Linked DNA regions of Notamacropus eugenii. The protein of the gene in region 3 purifies or fractionates together with the protein of the main gene of each other region. This does not show direct contact. Links are inferred from orthologs where the notes say so. Each region holds a gene or a part of one and is shown on either strand. Other genes may lie near its edges. The genes, in order: DKC1, C1QBP, DDX21 and CDK9.

Region 1 (6,854 bases), on a different chromosome or scaffold from region 3:
GAATTTGCCACTCCCTCTCTTTAATCCACGATATCTGTTTATTCACTGGCTCCTTTCTTACCTCCCAGGAGCATAGCCAGATCTCCCCTATTCTTTAAGACAAAACCAAACCAAACCAAACTTTCATTTGGTCCTACTATCCCCTCCAGGAATCTTTTCTCTTTCACAGCCAAACTCTTAGAAAAAGTGGTCTTCAGTGACTACCTCCACATCTTTACCTCCCACTCATTTTTCTACCTTTTCCAATCTGGCTTCTATTATCACCCCTGCACAGAAACTGTTCTCTTGGCTTCATCAACAATCTCTTAGTTACTATATCCAAGGGCCTTCTCTTAGGCCTCATCCTTTTTCCTGTCTCTGGACTAGCCCTCTCCTCCTGAATATTCTCTCTGCCCTGGGTTTTTGTGATACAGACCTCTAGTCTCCTCACATTCCTTTGCTGGAATCTGATCTATATGTAGATGTGCACTAGATCTCCATCCTGGGCCCCTCTTCTCTTATATCAGCTAGCTATACTCTCAGTGATTTCATCAGCTCCCATGGGTCCAACTATCATCTCTGTAGCTGACTCCCAAATCTACACATTCAGCTCTCTTTCATTTTCCAAGAAATAGGCCCATATTACCAATTGCTTGTTACATCTTATTGGACCATAAGCATATCAAACATGTCCAGAAAAGAACTCATTTCTCCCCTTCAGCTTACCATTCCTCCTAACATCTTTATTTCTCTATTATCCTTTCAGAACCCAGGTTCATAACCTCAAAGGCATCCTCAACCCTTCAACAATCAACTGATCAATCAAAGAACATTTAGCAAGCTCTTCCTACTATGGTGCTAAGCACTAGGGATTTAAAAAGAGACAAAAGACAGGGCAGAGAAAGAAAAGGCTGGAGCCATGGGAACTGGATTAGTTGGGGAATGGAAGACGAAGTGGACTTGTAAGATCTCTCTCTCTCACACTCTCTCTCTCTCTCTCTCTCACACACACACTCTCTCTCTCTCTCTCTCTCTCTCTCTCTCTCTCTCTCTCTCTCTCTCTTTCTCTCTCTCTCTCTCTCTCTCTCTCTCTCTCATACACGCATATACACACACACACCAGAACAGTTTCCTTGTTATACTGTGAAAATGTATAGAGTTCAAGCATGGGAGAAGAAGATACAGTTTCAGGGATTCAGTTCTAAGAACTAACAGTTCCAAGAGGGTACCCTGAAGCTTTAATAATAATAATAATAATAATAATAATAATAATAATAATAATAATAATAATAAGATGTAGGGCTTGCTTGAGTTCTTGGCACATGTAATTGTTTCTGCTAAATAATAATTGTTTCTCTTTTACCCAGGAACCCTGAAGGTCTTCTCCCAGTTTGATTTTTTTTTTTTAATTTTTGATGATCAAGGGCCATCCCTTGAGCAGCTACTTAAAGAAGCCTATTCATTGAATGGGTGTATCTTACTCAAAGTGAGAATGCTATAGGAACCTTAGCCTGAAAGGGCCAGGGTCTCCCAGTGCATTCTGGGCCATCTCCAGTCATCCTGATGACTATCAGGCCACTGGACCCAGATGGCTCAGGAGAAGAAAGTGAGGTTGGTGACCTTGCACAACCCTCTCTCACTCAAATCAAAGTCAACTGCAAGTCATGTCATCATCTTGATGTCATGGTCCTCTTTGAGAACGAAGGACAAACACCACCACCACCACCACCACCACAACAACAGTAGCAGGTGCTAGGGCTTTGTAAATATTTGCTGAAATGATTTGAGGGCTTTGCTTGAAGGTGATACATACAGGAAATGTTACTCTGAAGTCAATCCAAAGAAGAATGAGCAACATTTTGAATACTAAGTTGCTGTTCTCTGTAGAAGCATGGGAGGCCAGCCACATGGTATGGTGGAAAGCCTGGAGGGCTTAGAATCAGGAAACCTGATACTTTAACTTGCTAGTGTGTGAGAGTCACACTGTTTCTCTGTAAAATGGAGTTAGATAATACTTGTTTATTCTTGGAGTGATAAAGGTGAGGGAGTTCTCATTTAACAGAGAGAAGGCTGGCCTTTGAACAGTGAAGTCTAGAATTCAGATGTTTGGTTCCTTATGCCAGGTGTAAGTCCCAAAATTCCCAGTGCTTCTGAAGAGGGATACCATGTAAGTGCCATGTAACCTGTCTCAGAAGGGACAGTCTCAGAAGTTATTGCTTCTGCTGGAGGATTTCTGGGGTCAAAACTAAGGAGGAATTAAATTGATTGGTCTTGGCTAAAAGTTTCTTACCTAGAAAGCACCTTCACCCACCCACCCACTCATGACCTTAGTGATCTTTGTCTCTTTACTCCTGTACCTTTGCCCTTCTTGTCAGTTAATTTCTATACCCCCATCAACTTTTTCCTTACAATGTATATTCATTTAATTCTAAGTGTCATTAATACTGTGTCTAGCCTCCCTACCAGGCTCTGTCCTGGGCCTGCTTCTCTTTTCTCTCTATACTGTCTCTTGAAGACTTGATCATCTCTACATAGTTGCCTCCAAAATCCATATATCTAGATCTCATATCTCCCCTGAATTTCAGTGGTGTATTTCCAACTCCCTAATAGATATCTCCCCATTTCCGTTCATTGTCTTTCCATTTAATTAAGTTCCAAATTTTATAGTTATCTTTGATTCTTCTAGATCTCTCTCATACCCTCTTCCCCTCAATTTCTAAGCTGTGATGAAGTCCTGTCAATTCTAGCTTCCCCTCATCTCTTGCGTTTGTCTCCTTTGCTTCACTCACATGCCCCAAACCCGAGTCCAGGCCCTCACCTCTTTCTTGAACCACATGCCACAACAGTCTTTTAGCTGGTCTCTTCTCACTCAAATCCATCTTTCCAACAACTCCCTGAATAATCTTCCTGAGACCCATCATACAGCAGTTCCAAATTCTTCAATGCCTTGCTGTTGCCTCTAGGCCAAAATTCAAACCCCTTGGTGTGGCTTTTAAGGTCCTCCATAATCTGGCTCCAAGCTATCTTTTCTAGTCTTTCCCATTATTCCCATTTTAGCTCAACTGTAGTCTTGGTTGTTTCCTATAATGTACCACCTCCCTGACTTCATCATTCAGGCCATACATATGTATACCCCATGCCTGAACTGTAACAGCTTCATCTGGGGGACATCAAGGCACAGTTCAAGTGCCGCATCCTCTGTGGCTCTTTCTTTGATTTTCCCCCACCTCAACGGAAAGTGCTCTCTCTCCCCCTCCAATTCTTTTGTATTTCGTCATTTGTTTCCTTTCGGAATTTGGGAGAAACTAAGATCTTGAGAATAAGCCAGATCTGGGGGTTTGCCTTTATATCCCCAACACAAGCATATAGCAAGGGCCTTAAAAAAGGCGAATGCCAACCAATTTGGGGGAAGGGGTGGGTTGCAGCTGTGATCAGCAGCATCTGTGGGCTCCGTGGGGTCCTCGAGAGCGGCCAGGACGGGGAGGGGCACGGCTGTCACACGGCGCTGCCCACCCAGCCTGGAGGTCTGCAACCAGAGGCTGGCACGGGAAAGGGCCGGATGCCAGGCCTTCCGGGCGTGGGCGCAGCTCATAAGAATGAGGGCCGAGTGGCGAGGCCGGTTATTTTACAGCTGAGGAAAGTGAGGCGCAGAGGCACGACGCGACTAGGCCGGGGTCACAACGGCGGACCAGGTTAGGCCGGGCAGGGCCGGGGCGGTTCGCGCTTCCGCTCGCCCCCCGCCCATCCGCTCTCCCGGGCGCGGCGCCCCTCGCCCCGCGGGCCCGCCTCTGCTCTGGCAGCCAATCAGACACACGAAGACCGCTACGGGGCACCGCCCTCAGCCTCTGGTCAGCCAACGGGCGCCCTGGGACGCTACGCGTCACTCTGACGTTAAAGGAGGCCGGCTCTGGGACCGCACTGCCTCACGGGACGGAAGCGGGCTGCCTTCAGTCGTTCCCTTCTGCGCTGGGCTAGAGCACGCGGGCCGGAGGCCCCTGGTTGTGGCCACCAACATGGCGGACGGCGAAGGTAAGAAAGGGCCTCCGCTCCTTTGCGGCCTCCCGGATCTGTACGTCGCGGCGTCCGGCGAGAGCGGCTCACGCAGGGCCCAGCGCGCGGGGGGTGCGGGGCCTGAGCGCCGTTGGCCCGGGCAGGGCCCGAACCTGGCGCGCGGTCCCCGCCTGCGTGCGGCGGCTCGGCTCGGCTCGACCCGGGGCGCTCGGGGAGGGCGGCTCGGCTCGGCTCGGCTCGGCCCGGCCCGGCCCGGGGCGCTCCCGGAGGGTGGCTCGACTCGATCCGGGGCGCTCCCGGAGGGCGGCTCGGCCCGGGCGCTTTAACCGTTATTCCTAGTGGGCGGGCGCGTGCGGGCCCCCGAGGTTGGGGTAGGGGAGGCACAGCATGTCCTGGCAGCCCCCGGAAGCTGCCCCTTAGCTGCGGGTGGTGCCGCGGACGGGGGTTGCTGCCGATGCCCGTGCCCCTGCCCAACCTGTGAACGGGCCACGTGGTGACCCTGGGGAAGGAAGCACGTGTGGGAGTCCTGGAGAAGCAGCCTGATCACGGGCCTGGGCACCCACGAGCCCCAACTTCACAGACATCTTTTGGTTTTTTTTTTTAAGTTGTCATTGTATCCAAGAAGCACAAGAAAAAAAAGGAGCGCAGAGTGTTGGGAGAAGACGATGTCGCTGTGAGTACACGATGCTTTTTCCTTGCCAGTATTGGTAATTCCCCATTTCTTCTTGGGAACTGTAGGATTGGGCCATGTTTAGAAAAGAAAGAACCCGGATGGTGTGCTCTTTTGAGCTAGGAGAGCACCCACATTTGTATTCTGGGAGTCACTCCTCTAGCCTGCTCTCAGGATTCCAAGACAGTATTCACCAAGTACTGTTTGCCACATGCACTCTGCAGTCCTTTCTGCCTTTTCTCTGGAGTATTGGAACACAACTGGCCAGTGTTTTTCATATTTTGTTTCTTTGTGTTTCTGCTTGGTTCTGTGTACCGTTTTTTGGGAGCCACAATCATCCGAAAGGGTTAGGATCAGTTGTTAGGCTTTGTATTTTCTGGCCTGCCTGCACTTAGAGGAAATGCCTGTAATCTATGAAATTGAGGTCATTGGACTTTTTCATCCTGCCTTAGGATCTACAACATGAAGGGGAATTCTTCATCAAACCTGAATCTAAAGTAATTCAGTTGGACACATCTCAGTGGCCCTTACTGCTAAAGGTAAGGAATATGTAAACGTTATACATCAAATAATTGCCTTGTGATTTTATATTGGTTGGGGTTTAATTGATTAAATCAGTTTTGGTGCACAATCTCAACTAGTTCATTTTGTAAACTGAGTTCTGTATACCTGTAAATTCTAGTGCATGGTAAATGTGGTTTATGCATTTTACAAAAAAAGTCCTGTTTATAGATCTGTTGCCAGTTTTTCGTGTCTTCTATAAAATTATACAGGCAGATTTTTGTTTTGTTATTTAAACAAAAACTTGAAGATGTGTATTGTCTAATTGAATTGTTCTTTATGCTATAAGACTTCTCACCTATTAGCTAAAGAAGCATTTTGTTCCTTGTGCTGAGTTGTTCAGAAAGCCTGCCCAAAGAGGCAGTATCCATATCTGTATCCTCAGTGGGGGGCAGCATAATTTTGACAATATACAGTCTCCCTTCCCCCCCATCAGAATCACATAGCACAAGTTGTATCTGTTATTTAAAGCATTTCATTTAAATACTCTGATTCCTTATATTTCATTTTGGGAATCAGTACTGTAGGTAAGAATATTAGAATTTTGAAACTTAAATATTTAGTAAATCCCACAGTGCTCAAGCAGAAATATAAAGTTCTCAAACCAAAAGAAGTCCATTCGAGAGGCCCATGCCTTCTGCTATCTGCAGTGTGATAGCTCAGAAAAATGATTTTGGTGAATTGGTTCCTGGTGTAGATTGGTGGTTTTGTTGATTCATTGGATTTTCCATGTGTGGGACCAGTTGGTCTTAACTCTGGGTCTCTTAGAAAAGGGTAAGTCAAAAAATTGAGAATTTGCTTGCTAATTGAGTTTGATTTGTGTCCTGTCATCACTTTTTAGAACTTCGATAAACTAAATGTAAGGACAACCCACTATACTCCCCTTCCTTCTGGATCTAACCCTCTCAAGAGAGAAATTACAGACTATATCAGGTAAGCTGTTTTGCCAAGTAGTGACTTTTCATTACCTTGGGTTCAAACCTTCTGCCCACTTATATTAAAACTCTTAAAATAAGTAACATATTGGAAGTAATATAATCCTTCCTGTTTGGGGGGTGTGGGGGGGTTTGCTTTAGTACTGTCTGGGGCAATTTGCAGATAAAATCCTATTATATGGCAAAGGGCATGACAAGGCTTTATAACAGAAGTATGTCCATGCAGACTGCCTATGACTTGACACCTGAACTAATATGGTGGGCAAGGAATTCTGCTTAACCAGCAGGTACGACATTTTTTCTCCAATCCCTGATTGGGGGTCAGTTGCTCAGTAAATGTACCTGTTTATCTGCTGTTACTACTTCAGGAAGAGAGGGAGAGAGGGAGCTGTGTGCAGTGAGAGCTTCATGACTCTTGTGCTTCTCACTGAGCAGCAATTACCCTGTGGTGATTCTCATCTCTGTGCACCTGAAACATTGCCAAACATACCTGTTTACTCTACACAATACCCTTAACACAGCAGGGAGGGGGAGGGGGAGGACTAACGCTTGTCTGACATTAGGCTCATAGCCCTTGGACTCCTGGCCACACAGCACCTAGGAAAGTGCTCTCCAAATGACAAAACAAGTTGTAATTTGGTCAAGTGGAGTTTGTTATCCTGAGATTTTCCTTGTATCGCCAAAGCAGTGGCAAACAA
Region 2 (7,351 bases), on a different chromosome or scaffold from region 3:
CAGCATGACCTTCCTAGGCTGGATGTCAGGAGGAAACTCCTTGAAAAATCCCATGGGATGGAAGAAAGGCAGTCCAGCAAGATTAGCGAAGGGGTAGTAGCAGCAGACTCCCCTTCGGAACAGGCCATCCTCTTCTCTCACACCCTCTGTTAGACTGTGACCTGAAAGAGAAAGGTCAGGCAGATTTCAGGGTGGCTTCAGCCAAATGTAAGCAAGGGAGAGGCTGGCGCCACCCCCACCCCATTCTGCATCATCTTTTAGAGGTCATTGACCACGGTCTGCCCTCATGTTATCAGCCTGAGGGTGCTTAGAATTCATGGAGAGCAGCTGGGGTCCCTTACAGTCATGTGTATCCTCTGACCTTCCTCTGACCCTCCAGGGGTGAAGGAAGGTAGGGGTGGGGATTACCAGTTAACCAGACCTGACTCCTTGAGCCTCCTCCCACTCACTGGAGGCTACTTCCTATGTGGAGTTGGAAGAAGGCTTGCCCTTGTCCACATTCCCACTCCTCCACAGGCCAGGCTCATGGCAGAGCCTTGGCATTCCAGATGCAGGGCTGGCAGAGCTCAGGCAGGCGTCCACCACCTCTAGCACCTGCCTCCTCCTTCCGTCCATGTCTGCAGCCTCAGCGCATTGAGGGCGAGCTCTTTAGACCACTTTTCCTTCTCAGCAGGATCGGTTCTTTTGGCATCTTGAGAATTTCAGTCTTGGTAGTTTCCCAGATGGACATTCTCTAGGGAATTTTAGTTGGTTCTTGGCTGAAATGATTAGGGTCTCTACCCCTCACCTGCACTCCCAGTAGGGCCTGTCTCCTATTAGCACAATGTGGGGAGGAACGTCTCCTGCTCCCCAGGGTCACTCCCTGGGATAGCACCTTGCTCTTTAATGGATCATTTGGATGACAGATGCTGGCATGAGGAGGAAAAGGACCTAAGTTTCCCCTCTGTGCACCAGCCAGCTGGGGCTCAGCATCTTGGCCTGAACCTCAGTCGGATGGGGAGAATTAGGTCATCAAGAGTCATCTTTCTCCTCTTCTTCGACAGATGTCGATGCCAATCGAATCTTCACGGGCAGACACGGGGAACATTCGTCGATGCCTGGCGCATGGCCTTTTCATGAACACTGCCGAGCTTCAGTCTGATGGGACCTATGTAACCGTGGATACCCGCCAACCAGTATCCATCCACCCGTCCTCTGTGCTGTTCCATTGCAAACCAGCCTGCGTCACCTACAATGAGCTGCTGTCCACCAATAAGTGCTACATGAGGGACCTCTGCGTGGTCGATACAGACTGGCTCTATGATGCTGCGCCTGAGTACTTCCGCAGAAAGATGCGGGCCGCCCGCAGCTAAGCCTCGTGGCTCAGGCCGACGTTTGGCCAGGATGGGAGAGGCAACTGGCGGCCTCAGAGCTTGGGGCAGAAAGGGAAGGTCAGAATTCCATGCCTGTTATGGGATGGCTTTGGAAACTGCTGCAAAGGCTTGAGCTGTGCTCATTACTGGCTAGTGGGCAGGAATCTGCCACGGTTGGCTAGTTTTTATCCATATACAGTTTTTCAATTGAAAATGCAATAAATTGACTTTTGTAAAATTTTTAGGAAGGAGATGTTGCCGCTGCATGGCCTCATTCATTTAGCTTGGGCTCCTCTGGGGGCCTTGCCAAAGTTGGTGCCAAGAGAGGTGTGAGGTGATGGGGGTGGGGTGGGTGGAGAGGCCTTGGGGTCATGGCTCCAAGCCCCTCCCTGCCAGGAGCTGTGGAGCCTGAGGAAATTCTTCTGTCTGCTCATTTCTGGCTGCTGGTGGTAACAGGTGGCAAAGTGCTTTATATCTACCCACCTTCTCATCTCATTTAAGCCTGGTCTAGGTTCTGTCATTGTTCCCATTTCTGTGCTGTGGAAATGGAGGCTGGCGGAGTTGATGTGACTTTGGCAGGGATTGAGGCAGGTCTTGGACTCAGCATTTCCTCAACCACAGTCCAAAACACTTTCCATGCCACCACCCAGCTTCTGCTGCTAAGTGATTCTTACACAGGTGAGCTTTCGAATATTTGGAGGCAGCAGCCATACCCTAGCAGACCTGGGTGCACACCCCTGCTTTCACCAGGCCTTTCCCCAGTCTCCTGGGTCCCTGGCAGCTCTGTATAATTGGAGTGAAGTACTCACCCATACGTAGCCCTGTGCCAGGCTTCAGGACAAAGCTCATTGTGTGAGAGCCCTGTGCCCATGCAGGAGAAGCTGCAGAATTCAGATCAAACCAGGTCATGCTTTCATGGATCTCAGAGGGCGGTTGTTCATTTGCACATTTTCTTGTCTCTGCATTAGCTCTTAGAGATCTTCCCAGCCTTCCCTACCAGTCACCTGCATCATTTCTTACAGTACACAGGACTGTCCAAGTAGCCAGTTTGGGGGGTGTCTTTGGACTTCAAATGTTCCCCACTTCCGTCCATCCTCCCCTCAGTCACTAAAATGGTTTTCCTAAAGCTCAGTGCAGGCTCTCTGCCCCCATAACCCCCTCCCCCTCCAATAGACTCCAGGGGCTCCCTAGTGCTTCTAGGATCAAACACAAAGAACCCTACATTATCTGCCCTTCCCCCTCTTCCAGTCTTATTATACCTTACTTCCCAAATTGGACTTTTGGATTCAGTGATCCCAGCTTCCTGTCTGTTTCACTAACAAGGCCCTCCATATGTCTGGCATTTTCTCTGGCTACCCTCCACCCCCACGTCTGGAATGTTCTGTCTCTTGCCTTCCTTTGAGCCCCAGCTAGAATCCCCTTTTCTACAAGAAGCCTTTCTGGGCCATCCTTAATCTTTGTGCCTTTCCATTACTGATTATCTCAATCACCACATGTATTATATATTATGGTGTGTGGGTGTGTGTGTAAAATTAGGGCAGCTAAGTGGCACAGTGGATTAGAAGTATCTGGCCCCAGACACTAGCTATATGACCCTGCACAATTGCCTCAGTTTTCTCATCTGTAAAATGAGCTGGAGAAGGAAATGGCAAACCTTTCCAGTATGTTTGCCAAGAAGATCCCACCTTCCTTCCCTTGCCCATCGAGAAAGTACAAAGCAAACAAAAAGAACCGTTACCAATAGGTCAAGCAAGCCAGTCTGTGCTGACCATGTCTAAAAACTGTCCATATGTTGAGGTTCAGGGGTGCTGGGGACCCTGAAATACCGACATGCCAGGTCCTGCCCAAATGAATTCAACTCAAGCTTTCTTAAAGCCAAAGAAAAAGTTTATTAAAGATTTGCCATACTGGGTTGACTCAAGGAGCCTAAGCTTTTGTAACTCTCCCAGATAGAATCTCAGACAGAGTCTGAGGTGGATTGAATCTGAGCACCTTCAAGGAATCGGGATGGAATTTAAATACAGAAAAAGACTGAGAAGCATCCAGGTGTTGGCAGGGATGGTCTTGGTAGATCAAACCTAGGAGAGAATCCTGATGGGAGTGGTCAGAAGCCTGGGGAATGGGGTTTTAATAGGATCAAGGGTGGGGAGTGCAACAGAGACCAGTGCACAGCGATAATGAAAAGCCCAAGGGCTTCCTGAGACTGCTGGAACAAATGGGAAGATTAGATTTGAATAAGAAAGGCCAGATTAAGTGGGAACATTCAAGAAGGCTCCCAGAGTCTGAACCCATCACATTTACACTGAGCCCAGCATTAGTGTCTCCAGTGGTGGGCAGAGACTTTCCTCCCGAGGCCTCTGGAATTGTGAGAGCTTCGGTAGTGAGAATTTTCAGGGTCCTTGCTAGCTACGGATAATGCAGGTACACTGTCATTCATTTAAGCAGAATGGGATACCTCCAATCCGTGTGGGATGGAGGTGTAGGTCTCACAACTGCCGAGATGGACACGAGTGTATGTAGGATCTCTCCTTCCGAGGTACCAATCCGGGCAGGCTGGATACAATCTAAGCTCAGTCCCAGGTAGCTGGGATTCTAGGTACCCCAGGCTAGGCGCTCCCGGTCCCTTCCTTAGCCTGAAGCGCAGGCAGTTCCCACAAGTGCATGTTGGATACTTTGTAACCTTAGCCTGAAGCGCAGGCATTTCCGGCTCGTACATATTGGATATTATGTACACATGCAAGTTGGATACAATGTAACCTTAACCTGCAGCGAAGTCAGTTCGGTCACATGCAAGTTAGATACAACGTAACCTGGGCGCTCGCGGTCAGTGACAGAGAATGGGGATGCCTCTGGAGGAAACTGGCCTGAAATGGAGCCCCGCCTCCTTCGGAGGAGGGTCGGACAAAAGGATGGTGAAAACAATGAGGTTAAACAGGAAGGCAGAAAACAGGCGGGGAAAGTGCGCTCACGTCTGGGCGTGTCCAGAGAATACGCGGTCTCGAGCCATTCGGGGAAACTCCGGGCCCTCCTCGCTCTAGAGTCGGGTGACTCCAGTAGTGGCGTCGCAACCAGTCAATCATCGTGCAGTCCTTGAGTACCTTCACTGGTGCTATCACCATCTCCCGACGAGGGGCGCTGTGACCCTCCGAGGTGGCGCACGAACTTCCGGAACGGGACGATCTTGGGCCTTTCCGGCCAGCGCATTTCCCGGCGTGCTCCGCACTCTCTGCTGTCTTTCCGGTCTCCTACGGCGCTCCCACGCCTCTCCGCGTGTCTCGGTCATGGCCCCGCTGCTGCTACCGCTGCTGCTGCGCCCTGCGGCCCGGGCCCTGCGTCCCGCCGCCCTCCCGACGCTGCGCCCCCCCATGGCCGCCGCCACCCGCGCCTTCGGAGGCCTCCTGGGGGGAGGAATCGCCGGCAGGCCTGGGCCCGCGCGCCCCCGACTCCTGCAGCCGCTCCGGAATGCCCCTGGCCTATGCTCGTGCACGTGCGGGGGGCTCCACACCGAGGGTGAGCGCGCGGCCGGGACCTGGGGAGAGCGGGGGAGGGGCTCCCACGCTGACCCCATGGGGTGCGCACGTGGATCCGCACACCTTCCCAAAGGCGGTCAAGTCGCTTTCGGGGCGCCGATTATTCGGATTGGCGAGGGCTGGGTTTGGAATTGGGGCTCCTGCCCGGGTAGTTACGGAGGGAGCAGGCCCCACGTGGCTCTGACCCTAACCCCCTGACCTATTTTCAAGGTGACCCTTGGTGTGGGGAGTGCTTGTAGCTGCCTCGCCTTCCCACTGCCAGGCCATCCTGGCTCAGTCTGCCCTTCTGTCCTCTCCCGATCCGACACTCTCTCTGTCAAGACTCATCTGGCTTCTGGCTTCTGTCGACTTTGCTAAGTCTGTGGTTTCCAACTCTAACCACGCTGAATGATCATCAGAGCCCAGGACGATCCACAGCGCATTGGGGTGCCCAGTCCAGCGGGCAATTCTGCCTTTGGAATTGGCGCCCCAAGAGTTTACCCACATGCTGGCAGCTCCCACAGACAATGGATGCTGCTACTGCCTTTAACAGGCGGGGAGGGTAGGTGTGGTGGCAGTGGAGCTAAGGCTGCTTGGAGAGGGGATTAAGAGAAATAAGTGTTGAGAAAAAACCACTTCATAGGCGGAGAGTGGGTTGGTGGCCATATTTGCCTAATGAATACTAGGACCCCGTGGGGCAGCTAGGTGGTGCAGTGGATAGAGCATCAGTGCAGGAGTCAGGAGGACCTGAGTTCAAATCTCACCTCAGACACTTGACACTCACTAGCTGTGTGACCTTGGGCAAGTCACTTAACCCCAATTTGCCTCCTCCTGGGTCATCTCCAGTCATCCTGAGGAATATCAGGTCACTGGATTCAGATGGGTCTGGAGGAGAAGTGAGGCTGGTGACCTGCACAGCCCTCCCTCACTCAAAACAAAGTCAAGAGCAAGTCGTGTCGTTATTTCTCTGCTGGCGTGGTCTTCTTCCACAATGAAGGATGATCACACCCTAGGACCCCATACATTATATTTTTATTTTGGTTTTTGTTTCATTTGTTACATTGGTCAAGTTGTTTAGTCTCTGCCCACAGAGATATTTCTGTAGAGGATTAGAGATTCTTTCAGTTCAGAGCTACTGGATTAATGTGAGATTTTGTGCTTGGCCCCAGGGTAGTTGATGGCTATGGCAGAGAGGGAATAGGGTAGGAAGAACATTATCGCAAACCTCCTATGTGCTAGGCACTGTGCACCTTATAAATATTCTCTCACTCTTGAGCCTCTTGAGGGCCTTGGGAGGTAAAGGCTATTCCCCATTTTTCCAGAAGTGGAAGGTGGCATCCCTCGTGGGTGGTCTTCAAGCAGAAGCTGGTGCCATCAAGTTACTGGGCTGCCTTGTGATACTCTGCACCCTCCCCATAGCATCTCTGTTCTCAGGGGAACCCACTGGACCTAAGATTTCATCAGTGTAGAAGATGAAGGAATTAGCGGCACCATTGCATGTGGCACCTCATCCATAACTTAGCAGGGGCAAAATGATTAGGGCTGGTCTCTCTAGATTGCCCCTTATTTAGACACTGGGACATCTGACCCAAAATTGCCCAACAAAACAAATAGACCATCGGACTCTAACCCTAAATGGACCAGGTTCCCCTTAGTGTGCCTGTTTGGGTAGGGTGGACAGAGGGAGATTTGTCCCAGGTCCTCTGTTTAATCAGGGCAGACTTGGCAGAGACGGAATTTTCAGGGTGTCTTAAATGAGGCTTCTGCCTAAATGTAATTGCTGGGCCTTGACTGTGGCCCCCTGACCTCTCTGGATCTGGCTTTCCTCTACAATGAGTGTTTTGGCTTCAGTTGCCCCTGCCTTCTGTCCCCTCTGAGCAGCACCATCTCTGTGGCAAGTGAGCCACAGCATCAGGATCCAGTGAGTCACTCTTTGCTCAGTCCACAACTTAAGGTTGTGGAATGGGGCCTAGTGCTACCATAAGTGCACACAACTGTCCAGGGGTTGTGTTAACACAAACTACTCAGGAAAGATTGGCAAATTCACTGTGAACACTGGAAGTGGTCTAGCAGGTGCTGAGGGTCAGCTGTCATCTCCAAACAGATTTCACCTCGGTGGGAGACCAAGAGTGGACATTATAGATGCTGTGTCTCCCCCGAACAAAGTCAGAGGGAAGTGGATGGAGGATGTCGTATTTCACAACTGTGGAGATAACTTGGCAGTCTCAAATTGAGAAAAATATGAATGATTTCCCCAGTCCAGGTAGCAAGATTCCTAAGAAAAGCTAGACCGACAACAGTATCAGTGCACTTAACGTCTCCTGCTTCTGTCAGCTGGCACCCATTGGACAAAAGTCCAGAGAAGTTGATCATTTCCTCCTGCAGTGTGACTTGCCAAAATATTAGTACATGAATCCCTTTATCTGCACTGGACTCTTTGGGTCTCTTTCCCATGCCTCCCTTTTGTCCCATGGTTTAGGGTCCATCTTG
Region 3 (7,630 bases):
AAAGGGACCAAGTCCTTTGGTATATCTGTGCTCTCAGTGGTAGGCATTTCTTCCAGGAAGGCAGATGATAACTCATCCTCCATGCAATTCGATAAACTGTGTGCCAGAACACTTAACAATTATTTGATTCTCACACCAACTTTACGTGCTATATTATCGCTATTTTGTAGATGAGGAAGTAGGCAGATTAAGTGACTTTCCAGGGTCACAGCTAGTAAGTGTCTAAGGTCAAACTCGAAATCGGGTCATTGATTCTAAGCTGGTGCTATATGCACTGTACCACCTACCTGCAGTACCTGCCCTCAGTGAGTTTACAATCTGATGGAAGACAATACAGAAAGAAGCTGGAAGGGGTGGGTGCCACCAGGCTGTCCTCAGTGTAGGGCATCACGTTCAGTAGAGTTCAAGCCAAGCAGAGCTGCAGGTGGAAATGGGAGAGTGAACCCTGTTCCTTCTCTCCTTGTGTGAGTTGTCTGTATCCTCCACACTGAAGGGCACCAATCCAGGATTCACCAGCTGTCCTCTCTTCGTCTTGTAAAATGACCAGCCCACTTTTCATGCATTCATCTCTCCCAGACTCTTAGGCCCCTAGAGTATTTCATGGGTTATTTTTAACTCTTCTGCCTGGAACTGGCATATTGGTAAAACTCTAGGATCGTAGTACAGTTGAGTCTCCATAGCCTTGTGTGGATTGTTGGGTATGATTCATTATCTGATAAACAAATGCAACAGAAGAGCCTGTCCCATTCAGAGTCAAGGTGGCCTTTGTGTAGATACAGTACTCACAATTTCCTTTTGCCCTGAAAGTGCCACAGAGGTGAACTGTGAAGTCGTGGTTAGCCATTGCTCCTTCAGTGCCTGGGCACTGTGCTCAGGTCAAGGAAATAAATGAAGAGATTAGGTGGAAGACGCTATTATATGCTTTTAAAGGAGCTTAAGAGTTCAGTAGGGGATAAACAGGCAAAAAGAGCTGTGACATAAAATAGAGTTGTGAGATATCAGAGCTGTAATTTTCTAGTCTTCAGTTTGTAGGTGTAAAAATTCTCTCAAAGACAAATTACTTGTGTAAGGGCAAACAGCCAGTTACTGTTCGAACAAGAATGTCATGAAAAAATGGAAGGAAAGGCAAGATACTAAAAAGTATTTGAGGGCTGGGAAGATGGAAAGACTGCCGGACTGGGACGTGAAAGATGGAAAGAATTTCCAGGAGTCAAAGTGGGTCCACGGAGAGGAGAGAGGGATGGATTCTCGGGGTAAGCTGATAATAGTAATAATAAATAAGTAATAATAAAAAATAACAACTTGCAATAGTAATAATATTAGTATTGTAATAGTAAGATTGGCAACTCACTTTCTTCATTATAATCTTGTGAGAAAAGCAAAGTTATTTCACCAATTTTGAAAACAAACCGACTTTCAGAGGTTAATGACTCATCCAAGCATCATTTTTTTATTTTTGCAGCAGCAGTGTTTGAGTATTGTTTTCTTTTGGCAAAGCAGGAGATGCCATTGTAAGTAAAACTCAAGTCACAGGGGAAATATTTTCTTGGGTTGCAGGGGGTGTGAAGTTACCCAAATCAAAAGAATATAAATAAATCTAGGTGTGGGAGGATATTAAACATGTAAATTTATACATATATATGATAAATATACAGAGAGAGATAACAGCTAGGTATGTGTATATGCTACAACCAAAATATGAGAAGAATTTTCCCAAATGAATATCCAACATTGGTACATTATTACTCCTGGTTTTCCTCATTTCTTATCCCCTTCTTGTCATAAGGTGCAAACTTTCCATAAAGACAACATCTTTGTGACAGGTATGTGCTCTGTAGACAAAAATCTACAGTCAGTATATGATAAGCAAAAGAAACTTCCACATTCTTTCTGGGGACTCTTGCTCTTTCCAAGAAAACATTAATGCCTGTGATTAGCAGGGCTGGGTAAGTTTTTAAAGTTAAGTTTTCCTTCCTGCTAAGCTCTTACCCAGGTCTCCTAGCATCAAGAAAATTTTGTCCTTCTACACCAACACTCCACTGGGAACCCAATCAGTATCTGAAAGCATAGGAAAACCTTTGAACATTCAAATGTTAGGGGTAATAGAATCATTTTCTTAATGAGTGACTGAGGTAAATCATATCACCTCACCTACAAAAAGAGGGTAGGTTCTATCACATGACCTCTAAAGAACTTTTTCAGTTCTAATTGAGGAGGCATTCAGTTAGAGTTCAGAAGAGATCAGTTAGAGATTTGGGGGGGGTGTCATTTACATAGATGTAACAGCTCATTTTTGTTGTGCAGGGTGGGTCCTACGCATATCTTACTTTTACATATGAGAAATAGATTTTTGAATGGTTATGTGGCTTAGGGTTTATGAGGAAGTCTTAACTTGGGGTTCACCCCCCAAAAGGTCCATGAACGTGGATGAGAAAAAATTAGCCTGCTGGTGGGTCTGACTCAATCAAGTCTCTCCTCATTTCAATGCATCCTCCAGTCTGGTCACCAAACTAATTTTACTAAAAGCACACCCCCTACTTAGTAAACCCCAGTGGCTTTTAGTCATCTCCAGAAGCCAGTGCAAAATGCTCTAGTTGGCATTCAAAGCCCTTCATAACCTAGCCCCCTCCTATATTTCCAGACATGTATTCTTGTATTCACACACATGATGTGTGTGTTTGGGACCAGTGACACTGACTTCCTGTCTTTTCAGGAATAAGAGACTCCTTCTCTTGGTTCCTGCTGTTTTCTTTGGCTGTCCCCCATACTTGGAGTGCTCTCCCTCCTCCACTCTGACTGCTGACCTCTGTGGTTTCCTTCAAGTCTCAACTAAAATCCCATCTTCTACAAGAAACCATCCCCAGCCCCTTTTAATCCTGGTGCCTTCCCTCTCTTGGTTCCTGTTTGTCCTGTGTATAGCTCGCTTTGTACATATGTGTTTGCTTGTTTCCCCCATCAGATTTTAAGCTCCTCCATAGCAGCGACTGTTGCCTCTTTTTCTACCCTCAGTGCTTACTTAGCACAAGCACAGTATCTGGCACATAGTATGTGCTTAATAAATATTAATTGTCTGATTGATTGGAAGAGCCACTGCTATTGTTCCAGGGGTACCAGACACAAAGATATGGAATAGACAGTTCTTAAAGTTAGAGCAGAAAGGGACCTTAGAGATGGTCTAATCTAGCTGATTCAACAATCCTAAAAGCACCTGCTCTTCAGGTTAGCACTCTGGGGCTATGAGAATAATATATGGGATGTAATCTAGGAGTTTACCTCCACTGGGGGAATGGCTATTTCAAATTAGGAGTAAAAAGGCATAGGGGGAGACCCGGAACATCTGAGAAGAGAGACAGCTAACAACTGGTTTTTGAGGAAGAGTGGGTCAACTTTTATTGCTGTTTGAAAATAAAACTGCTCCAAGGTGGAGGTGGGGATGGAGTATAATAGTTTGTGTCCCCTCTGCTGTCCCATCAGGCTGAAGCTTGATTATGGCATCATGGAGTGAGATAGAAAGGACTTTCAAAGTCATCTCATGCAGTCCCCTGGAGGAAACTGAGATTCCAGTGGGTGAGAGTTACTAAGTGGCACGGCCATGATTTGAACCTGGGTCTCTCCACCAAAATGAAGGCCTGAAATGTCTGGTAAGGAGCTTGTAACTTATCCCAGAGGTAGGTAATAGGAGTGGGCATGATAGAGTGCTGGATCCCGATCTTCCTGGGTTCAAATCTGAATGACTAGCTGTGTGACTCCGGCCAAGTCACGGCCTCAGTTTCCTCATCTGCGAAATGAGCTGGAGAAGGAAATGGCAAAGGCTCCAGTATCTCTGCTAAGAAAACCGGGTGAGACACGACTGAGCAACAATGGGGGGGGGGGGGGGTTTGTGGATAGCGATGTGTCCTCGTTAACCCTGGGTTTGGCGTCGGAAGGACAGGAGGGCGGCACGGGGCCACACGCACATTCGTGTCCCCTTCAGCCTCGCCAGCCCCCCAGAGCAGCGGCAGGGAAGCTCGGGGGGCTCACCTCGTCCGAGCCCAGCCTCTCGGGGCTCTCCCCGCCACGCGCGCCGCTCGGCCTCAGTCTCCTCTCCTATAAAGTGGGGAGCTGGACCAGTCCCCGGGGTCCCCTTCCCCTGCGGACCGCACGCGACTTCAGGGAGTGACCTGGGTGGTCCAGACACCCCGGCCTCCTTCCCCGGGGCAGCACCGTGCTCCCGCAGCGGCCCCCGCCCCCAGGCCCCACCCCTCCGCTAGCTCCAGCCCTGGGCGGAGCCTAAACGGCCCCTGGGTATCTAATGCGCCCGCGGTTTGCACCGTGTTTTCGAGTCCTGTTTTTTAGGCGTCTATTGGCCGCTGGAAAGACCGGGCCGGGGGAGAGGGTCGAGGGGGCCGACGCTGACCATACCCCGTCCCCGGACCGTAAGAGCTGAGGAGAGGACTGGGCAGAACCCAGGGCTCCCGCGCGAGCGCCGATCCCGGCTCCTCCTCTGGCACTTCCGGAGGCCCGGAGCCCTCACGTGGTCGCCGGGAGTGCGCGCCTGCTTCCTGCTTCCTGCTTCCGGCCTCTGCGGAAGTGACGTTGCCGGCTCTCTGCTTCCTTTCCACGCGGTTGTCGGTTGTGGAGTGAGCTCGCGGCCAGAGGATTATGCCCGGTAAGCTTCTGTTAGAGGCCGAAGTCGAGTCGGAGGCGTCCATGGAGGCGACGGAGCAGACGCGGAAGCACAAACAAAAGGTTCGGGCGGGGGCTTTGAGGTTCGGACTGGGGCAGGGGGAGGGAGGTATGGGAGAGCCTCCTGGCCCCGGCTCCACGTGCAGCCCTGGCCGGGCTCGGCGCTCCGGGGCTCCTGATGCCTCTGAACCTCACTTTATCCATAGCACCCACCCCCCAACTGCGCTTTGCACGTGAGGACTGTGAGGTCCGGGGAGGCGAGGGGGCCTAAGATCCCGGATCACAGGGTCACGGGTGGGCCGTGGCCCAGTGGAGGAAACTGTGCCTAAGCGGTCTCCGGTGGCGGCGGGGGGCCGGGGGTGTGGGGTGAGTGAGGCCCCCGCGGGCCAAAGCGCCGGCTGTTATCGCTGTTCTTGTTAAAATTCCCCTCCCCAGCCGGGCGGAGGACCCCGGACCCCAGCCCCTAACCCCCTCTGGGCGATTCGGGCCGGACCCGACACCCAGTCCCTGCCTGCACGTGCTAGGTCTGCCCGGGGTGAGAGGATGCGCTCGTCATCGTGCCGGCTTGGAGCCGCTGCCCAATGGGCGGCCGTCCTAGGGCCTGGGGTGGGGTCTAGGGAGGGGCTGAGAGGCGGGCTCCCCTCTGCTGCCCCAGCGAGCTTGCTGTGCCCCGGCAGCCAACCAGGCCCACAGCGTTTATTATGGACTTGTGTATGTATGCCGGGAGAAAGGGGAAAGACTTATGCCTAATTATCAATACATAGAGCACTTACTAAGCCTTCTTATGCTCCAGACATTGTACTGTGCGCTGGGGATACAAATATAGGAAAATAAAGAGGTCCCTTCAGAGATTTTAATTGTAATGGGAAAGACCACAGATAAAGGGGAGCTGGGAACTTTGTTTAGGAACTGCTGGATTTCCCTTAGAAGGTGAGTTAAGTAAAGACATTGTGTTATACCCGCTTGAAATAATGGCATGACTTTTTTGGCCTGCAGATGTGCTCAGAGATCACAATTATTGTGTAAATGATTGTCCATTTCTTATTATAGAATTTTAACTTCTGTGAAATAACATTCGCTTAATACAATGTTTCAAGTTACTTGGGGTTAGGACACGTGGTGTGCCATTGACATCCCAGGAACAGTGACTAGTACTGAAAGGATAGCATGAGCTAGGGGTAGAATATGTTACAGAAAGCTTCACATCTACAATTAGACTGTTAGAAATTTAGGACCCGTGTTGGATCCATTTTTCTGCATAATTTATGAACTGCCAAGGATAAGGAAAGTTTGATTTCTTCTAATAATTTAGAATTCTGTGGTTTTGCTCTAGTCAAGAGTACACAGCATTTTCTGTACATTACCTGGTTTACCCCTCAGGTATCCAGGTAAAGTAGTTTGGGGGGAGGTGGGAGGTATTATATACCTCTTTTGGTATAAAACAATGTTGTGGCATCGAATTGTCACCATTGAAACCATCTCTGTCAAGATCAGTTACCAGTGTCAATGGCTTTTCTTCCTCCTAAACTCAACATTTGTGGTGTATCTTTGAGCAGCTAAGTTCACTGTCCTCTGGGACATTATCACTCAGAAACTAAAACAGATAAAAGGGACAGTCTTGATTTACCTGCAGCTCTTGACTGAAATATAATCTCCAAATCGCAACAAGGTGGTAGAAAAATGGGACTGATTGATAGATTTTGTTTCATTTGCCAGCATTCTCCTGAATTGAGTCTGGTAAAGAATAGTGAAATGCTCTGGGTGGGCTTTCTTTCCCATTCTTTTCTTTATTGTCCCTCAAAACCGTAGCTAGAAAAAGGTTGGACAAGAGGTGGTAAAGTGGGTAGAGCGCTGGGCCTGGATTTAGGAAGACTTGAGCTCAAATGTGACCTCAGATACTTATTAGCTGTGTGGTCCTAGTTAAGTCACATCACCCTATTTGCTTCAGTTTCCTCAACTGTAAAACGAACTGAAGAAGGAAATGACAAGCCACTCTAGGATCTTTGCCAGGAAAACCCCAAATGGGGTCCCAGAGAGTCAGACATGACTGAAATGATCAAATAGCAAAAAAGAATTAGTAAAGGAGGGGAGGGCAGCATGGTTCAGCAGGGATGTCCCTGAGTTTGGAGTTTGGGTACCAGGCTGAATTTAAATTTTGTGGCTGTGGGGAAGTGACATAACTTCTCCCATCTTCATTTTCCTCATTTGTAAAATTTGAAAGTTGAAATGGATCCAGATGGTTTCTAGGATTTCAATGAGATGGCCAGATGCAGTTAATTTTCTTTGCTATGTTTAGTAGTTGTGAATAAAGAAATGAAGATATTTGTTAGTTTAAAAAAAAGTAGATTTTGGCCCTAACGTGTGTCTCTTTGAATTATCTTTGAATTTAGCAGAAAGATAAAAAAGAAAAATCAAAAAATGAGAAACCAGAAAAGAAGGTCAAGGTAGAGACTGAGGAACTTTATTCCCCTAAGCCCAAGAAGATGAAAAGGGAGGCGCTCCCAGAAGAAGTCATTTCTCCCAAGTCCAAAAAGGCCAAGAAGAAAGAGCACCTCCTAGAGGAAGAGGAAGAGGAAGATGCTTCCCCTAAACCCAAGAAGTTCAGAAAGAACAAGGAGGGGTCTGTGGAGGAGCCCAAAAGGGTGGAGGAGCCCAAAAGGCTGAAGGAGAAGGAGGATGCCTCTAGCAGTGAGGTCTGCTCTAAGACCAAAAAGAGCAAAGAGCTTTCTGAGAAACTCAAGAAAGCCAAGAAGAAGGAGGGACCAATAAATGGAGACACAGGAGAGAAAAAGTCAAAGTTGCAGAAGGCATCAGTGGGGAATGGACTGCCCCACTCCAAGAGGGCATCTGATTCTGATTCAGAGGAGTCATCCAGTGAAGACAGTGACAGTGAGGCTGAGCAGGTGAGGGGCATTCTCACAAAGCAGGACAGTGGAGGTTGTTGGTTGGTTTGTTTTTTAATTGT
Region 4 (6,872 bases), about 220 Mb from region 3:
GGATCACAAGATTTGGACCTAAGAGAGAATTCAGGGACTATCCATTACAATATCCATAGACCACTGTAGAAATAAGAACTGGTAACATAACCTTTGGCCCATCCCTGACCCATCCCTCCCCCCCTTCCCATTCCCAGTCCCCAACACTAGGCTCCCTAGAAAGTTCTTGAGTCTTGGGGTTGATTCAAGAGGGTAATTTCTTTCTTTGGTTTGTTAGGCCCACCTAGAGTTAGTCTAAGAAAATCTCTAAATATGCTTATTTTTGGCTACTGTCTAGGTTTCCCTAAATATGGGCAATGCGGCCCTAGTTCCAGTACAGGCACTTAAGATATAGATAGATAGAGAGATAGATAGATAAGATAGATAGATAGATGATGGATAGATATACACTTATATATTTATACATGGATATATATACACATACATATGTGTAGATACATACACACATGTATATGTGTATGTATACACAAACACACACACATATAATAGCAATATATAGCAATAATCGCTAACATTTATAGCACCTACTATGTATTATACTAAGGTATCTATTAAGGTATTAAATGAAGCACTTTATAAATATTATCTCATTTGATTGATAGATGACTAAAACCTCAGAAAATGTTAGAAAACACAAAGGCCTCCTAGGAACCTATAAACAGAGAAATACATAAAGAATTCTCATAGCCCATCAACTACCCTCAGAAGGGACCTGACCTTGGAATCACCATTAAGGTTACCCTTTAACCTTCTTGAGGGCCCATAGCCTTCCCAGAGGGGCACAGAGTCCTTCCCAGAATCATAGTGTTACTCTGTGGTTTGAAGGCAAGCACAGTTTGGGTCAACCCCCTTCCCATTGGACCTCCAAGTAGGAGAGCGCTCAGGAACTTTATGAGTGGTCTTCTTTTTTCTTCCTAGGTATGTAGGTGGTCTGATCTCTAAATTCTCAACCTTGGGAACTTTCGAACCTAGAGTTTTCTACAAGGTAAGCCCTACAGCAGGTCTTGCCCAGAAAACCTCCCTTCTCAGGCCATAAGGCTAGATTTCAGTATTACACTGCTTAGGGTACACATAACACAACGCATTTAACTCATCTATGCAGGATATTGGGATTCATAAACACTGTCCATGGACCACTCTCTTGAGTAATACGGACAAGCACATGACTGCATTTGCCACGTCCTTCTGCAGGAAATCTCTTAGTGCCCCATTTTTGGCCATCTTTTGAGTGGGGAAAGTAGTTACTCTCAGGATGTCTCAAGATTCAGACCACTTTCAGACTAGCACACACAACTCCCAAATGCCTCTGCTTCAGGATGCCTTTCCTTGTCGCTTAGGGGAAGAGTCACATGAACACAAGGCTTCTCTTCCCTCAAGGACCTGCTCTGCCCTATTCCATGCTGGTCTGTCTTCTGAACAGGGGAAGGCAAAAAGCCAAAAGACGGCAAAATCGTGTCTGCTCACACCCTAAAAAGTCCATCCTCTTGAATCCTACCTTGTATTTCCTTGTGATTTCTCACCTCTCCTCAATTTATTTGTCTTCTCTGTTTAGGCTCTTCCAAGCTCCACAGAGGAAATGGCAATGATGTTTTGTGGAAAGGATGGTAAATCTGGAGTTTTCCCTGGACCTAGGTTTGAACTCTGACTCTGTCAACCTGGAGGGGTGTGGCCTTGAGACAGTCACTCCACCTGAGCTTCTGTAAAACAAATGAAGGGGTAGTACTAAATGATTCCTAATGCCCCTTCCAGCTCTACATCTATGATCCTTCTCTATTATCTTTCTCCTACCACTTAAGAGATCTTCTCTGGATATATAGTTCTGCACCTACTGACACCTTGTCATGCGTCTTGCCAGGACAACGCTTTGACACAGCCATTCTTGGAGTATCTTTAGACACAGCAAGCACAGGGTATCTAGAGCACCCTTGCACCACTCCCTAGGGGCTTGAGTTCCACACACATTTTTGATGGAAGAAAATTCTACTCTTCTAATTCTGAGATTTTTAGCAACTTATTTTGTGACTAGTTAAGTCCCATATATTAGAGTGAAGGTAGAAAGCCTTTGGTGGACAATAGGATACAGGGTACAATTTACAGGTTTTATCTACTCCAGTCTCCACATCACCAACTATCCAATGCACATCTCCAGCTGGATATCCTGTAAGGCATCTCAAACTTGACATATCCAAAACAAAACTGTCTTTCCTCCAAAATCCTCCCCTCTTCCTTTGTTTTTGTTGAGGGCATCACTATTCTTTCCATTAGCTGGGTTCTCCTATTCAATCGTCTTTCACTCCTTGTTCTCCTTTATCCTCACTTCCCTCCTCCCCGCCCCATATGCAAGCAAATTGGTAAGTCTTGTCTAGTCCACCTCTGTGACATCTCTCAAATCCATGGCATTCTCTCCATACATTTGCCTTCATCTTCCTTTAAGCCTCTATCACTTTTCCCTTGGCTTATTGCAATAGCCTCTGAATCCCCATATCCAGCCTCCCTTCCATTCCCCATAAACTACCAAACTGATATTATTAAAACATAGGTCTGTGTCATTCCCTTCCTCAAGACATTCCAGTGATTCCTCAATGCTCCTGTTATAAAGTACAAATGCCTCTACTTACCTTTTAAAGCACAGTTTTCCTTCCAGGCTTATTAGACCTCACCCTCCTTCACACACTGAAGCATTTAGCAAAACCAATTTGCTTCCAATTTTCCATCCACAATATTTCATCTCCTGCTTCTGTGTCTGTCCAGGTGGTCCCCTATGCCTGGAATGCCCTCTCTCCTCACTCATTCTTCATAGAATCCCTAGCTCTTTTCAAAGCTCAGCTCAACTGCCACCTCCTACAGGAAGCCCACTGACCCTCCACCCCCACCCCCAGGTGCTAGTGCCCTCTACCTAGGAATGATTTTGCATCTATTTTGTATTTAAGTTTCTATTTATATGTTTTCTGCTCCCCTTAAAAGTGTAAGTTCTTGGAAGGTGAGTCTTTCATTTTTATCTGTGCCCCCACTCTATCCTTTCCCAGCGCCTAGAACATAGTAAGTACTTAATAAATGCTCCTTGAATTGAATTTCATTGCCTCTGTAGGATGTGCCAGGTTCTGCTCTCCAAGTAGGAGAGAAGCTGCCAGCAAATAAAAAGGGGGGGGGCAAAGAAACAGGAAAGTTCTAGAGGTGTTCCCCAGGCATAGTGGGGAAACCAGTCCTCTTGGAGAATTCATGGAGGGTAGCGGAGGGTTGGAGAGATGGGGTGAAGCAATATTGGAGGCAAGGTTGGAGAGGTATGGCAGAGAGCACTAGGCTAAGGACTTGGGATTTAATGCTGGAAGCAGTTGTGGAAGCCATTTTGTGTTCTCCAACAGGGAAATGACATAGTTTCAAAGAGGTTATTCTAATAGCCTTTGTAAGAACAGGACAGAGTGAGAATAGAGAGGAAGGCCAGGAAGGAGATTGTTGTAATAATCTAGGTGAAAAGCAAAGATGGCTAGGGATCAGGAAGCTTGAGTTCCTTGCTAATCTCCTTGACTCTTTCTGAAAGGCCAGGAGAGCAGAATGACAGCCCCAGATCAGGGTGCGGAGAGGGAATGCCCGAGCTGGTGGGAGTAGGAGATTAGGGAGGGAAGAAGGAATCAAAAGGCTACTTCAAAGGAGACTGGGCATGCTTTGATGACCAGACACGCCTGGGTTCCAGGCTTAGTGTCTTCCCCTACTAACTGCACGAGCATAGGCAAGCCCCTTTGCTCCTGAGACCTTTCCTCACCTGCAAAGTGGGGGTTTAGTGCATGCACCACTGACTTCACGGAGTGGTGGGAAGCTGTTTGTAGACAAACGTGAGCTATTGTTTCTTGTAATTCATGATCAGAAGCAGTAGGAAGAACAAGTGTAGACAGTTTATGGAAGGGCTCCCAGGGGAGTCACCTCGGGTGAGGGATCAAGGTCTTGGCCAGCGGAGGGCACACACCGTCCCCTGACACGGGAGACTTGGTTTACACTGTGTGGTGGAGGTGGCTGAGGTACTGAGCAGGCGTTTCGGCTCCAGCCCTCCCTCCCGGCTCTCCGGCCAGGGCCGAGTTGGTGGCTGAGCCAGCCAGTGCCCCGGAGGGAGCTTTCCCAGCAGGAGGTGCCCCCCACAGCGGCGCACACGTGGGGAAAGCGCAGGTCTCCGCGGCATTCATTGTTGCTAATGCCAACCGTCCCCAGCCTAGGTCCGGCCCGAGGAGCTCGTCCCCCCGAACGATGTGACCTGGACGGCCAAGTCTGACGGCTGAGTCCGTTTGGAAGGACAGTGAGGAGGTCAGTTTTGGACATGGTGAGTTTGCGAAGTGAACGCCCTGCCCTGGGGGAAACTGAGGCGGCCCAGGCAGAGCGTGTCTCCCTCCGCTCCCCATGCACCCAGAGAAGGAGGAGGGCGAGCTGGCCCTCGGCTCTCCCGGGTCTTTGAGGCCCGAGGGAAGAAGGAAAGAACCCCCCAACCCCCAGGGCTCTGCCCACCGGCCCCCAACAGGCCTCCCCCGCCGATCCCGCCCTCCTTCCGCTCCTCTGGTCTCGCAGCTCCCCCTGGCGGCGATAGGTTGCCATGTCAACCAAGGGAACCGGGGGGCCGGCGGGGGGAAGGCGGCTCCCGCCCCCCGGCTCGGCCCCCGCTCACTCCGCGCCTCCTCCGTGCGCCTCTCGGCCGTTCTCCCAACTCGGAGCCCGAGGGGTGGGGGGAGCGGGAAGGGAAGGGCTCCGCTTGCTCGCGGTCCCCACGACGGCTAAGACCCGGGGGCGCCCCTGGTGCCCTGGCCTAGGGTGCAGAAAGGGAAACTGAGGCACGGCCGGGCGGCAAACGGGACGCACTGAACCGAGGGCTCGATTGCAGACTCCCAGGCGTCCGGGCTCCTGGGCCCACACGTCACTCTTCGCTTTCCTCTCCCCGGCACTTACGGGGGCGAGGGGAGGTGGGGACGGGACCCCCCAGGGGGGAGGGGCCGCGGCTGGGGCTGGTGACGTACCGTGAACCCCCACTCCCCCCACCCCAGCGGGCGGGTCCGAGTCCGGGTCCGGGGCGGAGTCGCGGCAGGTGCGCCCGCGGAGTAGGCGGGCGAGAACGGGCGGCACCTCCCTACCCCCCCCTTTATAACGCGCCCCCAGCCCCTCCCCTCCAGGCTCCCCTCATCGCCCCCACCCCGTCTCGGTGTCCTCTCCTCCTCCTGTCTCAGTCTCTCCTTCCCTTCCTGCCCCAGCCCGGGCCTGGGAGAGGAGGAGGAGAGGAGCGAGCGTCCCCTGGCCCGGCTCTCGCTCCGGTTCCCGGGGGCGGCTCCCCCCGCCCTCCCCTCCCCGCCCCCAGCCCCGCGGCGGCGGCGGCGTCGGAGAAGCCGGAGCCGAGAAGGAGGAGGAGGAGACTGCGGCTCGCCCGGGATCCGCTCCGGAGCAGCTCCGCGGGCTAGCTGCCGGGCCAATGCAACGGGACGGGCCGCCCCGCGCCCCCGCCCCCATCCCGGGGCCCCGCCTTCCCGGCCCCGGAGGTGTTGGTAGTGTTGGCGGCGGCGGTGGCGGCGTTGGCGGCGGTGGCGGCTCTACAGCCCCAGCAGCCCCCGTCCTCCCGGGAACTACAAGTCCCAGGGGTCCCGGCGGCGGCCGCAGGGCGGAAGAGGCGGGGCCGGCACCTCGGGGCCGGAAGTGGCCCGGGAGGCGGAAGTGGCGGGGCCGAGGAGGGGGCTGGAGCGTGGGGGGCGCGGCGGCGGCGGCGGCGGTAGCAGCGGCGGCGGCGGCGGCGGCGGCAGCTGCAGCGGGACCCGGGCCGGGGGCAGCGGGGGCCGCCAGCGGGGCGGCGGGAGGCACCGGCGAGGCCGCCATGGCCAAGCAGTACGACACGGTGGAATGCCCCTTCTGCGACGAAGTGTCCAAGTACGAGAAGCTGGCCAAGATCGGCCAGGGCACCTTCGGGTGAGCGCCGGGACTGGCCTGGCCGGGCCAGGGAGGGGGGTACCGGGGGCCTCCCGAGGCCTCAGACCGAAAGGGACCCTCAGGGGCCGGCCGGGCCGGGGGGCCGGGGCCGGGACCAGAACGGGACAGCCCGCGGGACGCTGGGGAGGGTTAAGGGCGAGGCCTGAGCGAAGCCGCGGGTCCGAGGCCAGGAGGCCGAGGGGCGACCGCCCGCTGGGAAGGGGACCCGAGTCTGGAAAGTTAACAGCCTGACTCTAGAGCCTGGGGCTGGAGGCGGAGCCCTTGTGGCGGGGATCTCGAGGCTGAGGGGGGCTCTTGGGGCTGGGGCCTCGAGGCTGTCCGACAAAGGGAGGCTGGAGGACTTGAGGTCCGGCCCCAGGGGTGAGTCTGCCGGGAACCCTGGAGGTTAGGGCAGCCTGGCCAGAAGCGCTTTGGAGGTAAGGAGGTTCAGGTCGTAGAGAGATAAGAGGCAGGTAGGGGAAATCCCCAGAGACGGTGAAGGGGCTTCAGTTTGCGGGGGAGGAGCTGAACAAAGGAGGCGCTGGAAAGGTTGGAAAGTAAGGGACTTTCAAGATGGGAGTAGATCTGAAGGTGAATCTTTTTGCAGACAGGCTTTTGTTTGTATTTTTCAATTAAAGTAAGGGTATGGTTTGGTGGCAAGCTGAAGGGCTTGGGATTCAGACCACTAATTTATAATGTGATCTTGGGCACACATACTTTCCTCTCCCCCCCCCATTCAGTTTCCTTATCTGTATAGTGAGAGGTTTTTAGAGTAAATAACTTCCAAGCTTTTTCCAACTCTAGTATTGATGTAAGAACCTGGGATAAAGGGTAATTGCCATTTCTGATAAATTCTGGGAGGAGGGTGCTGGGCAGAAAAAGAGCCTGGGTAAACAAACGTGCCATCACTTGGCTTGCAGTGAAGTCTTCAAGGCCAAACATCG

The links.
Region 1: the proteins of DDX21 (region 3) and DKC1 purify together in Homo sapiens (co-immunoprecipitation; 3 studies listed by BioGRID and IntAct, with this or other methods). This does not show direct contact. The link is inferred for Notamacropus eugenii from reciprocal best matches to the Homo sapiens genes DDX21 and DKC1.
Region 2: the proteins of DDX21 (region 3) and C1QBP purify together in Homo sapiens (co-immunoprecipitation; 3 studies listed by BioGRID and IntAct, with this or other methods). This does not show direct contact. The link is inferred for Notamacropus eugenii from reciprocal best matches to the Homo sapiens genes DDX21 and C1QBP.
Region 4: the proteins of DDX21 (region 3) and CDK9 purify together in Homo sapiens (affinity purification with mass spectrometry; 3 studies listed by BioGRID and IntAct, with this or other methods). This does not show direct contact. The link is inferred for Notamacropus eugenii from reciprocal best matches to the Homo sapiens genes DDX21 and CDK9.

Annotation. Positions count from the first base shown.
Region 1 is NC_092879.1:10,721,326-10,728,179, forward strand, and holds the start of DKC1 (H/ACA ribonucleoprotein complex subunit DKC1), read left to right. Parts: upstream 1-3,852; 5' UTR 3,853-3,992; coding exon 3,993-4,008; intron 4,009-4,595; coding exon 4,596-4,663; intron 4,664-5,112; coding exon 5,113-5,199; intron 5,200-6,062; coding exon 6,063-6,154; intron 6,155-6,854.
Region 2 is NC_092877.1:389,110,090-389,117,440, forward strand, and holds the start of C1QBP (complement component 1 Q subcomponent-binding protein, mitochondrial), read left to right. Parts: upstream 1-4,331; 5' UTR 4,332-4,633; coding exon 4,634-4,862; intron 4,863-7,351. Other genes in the region: ATP-dependent RNA helicase DHX33, read left to right, coding at 1,044-1,352.
Region 3 is NC_092872.1:260,118,601-260,126,230, reverse strand, and holds the start of DDX21 (nucleolar RNA helicase 2), read left to right. Parts: upstream 1-4,612; 5' UTR 4,613-4,641; coding exon 4,642-4,728; intron 4,729-7,055; coding exon 7,056-7,568; intron 7,569-7,630.
Region 4 is NC_092872.1:479,054,114-479,060,985, forward strand, and holds the start of CDK9 (cyclin-dependent kinase 9), read left to right. Parts: upstream 1-3,855; 5' UTR 3,856-4,309; exon of another isoform or gene 4,310-4,940; intron 4,941-5,225; 5' UTR 5,226-5,440; coding exon 5,441-5,928; intron 5,929-6,848; coding exon 6,849-6,872. UniProt on the Homo sapiens protein: Protein kinase involved in the regulation of transcription.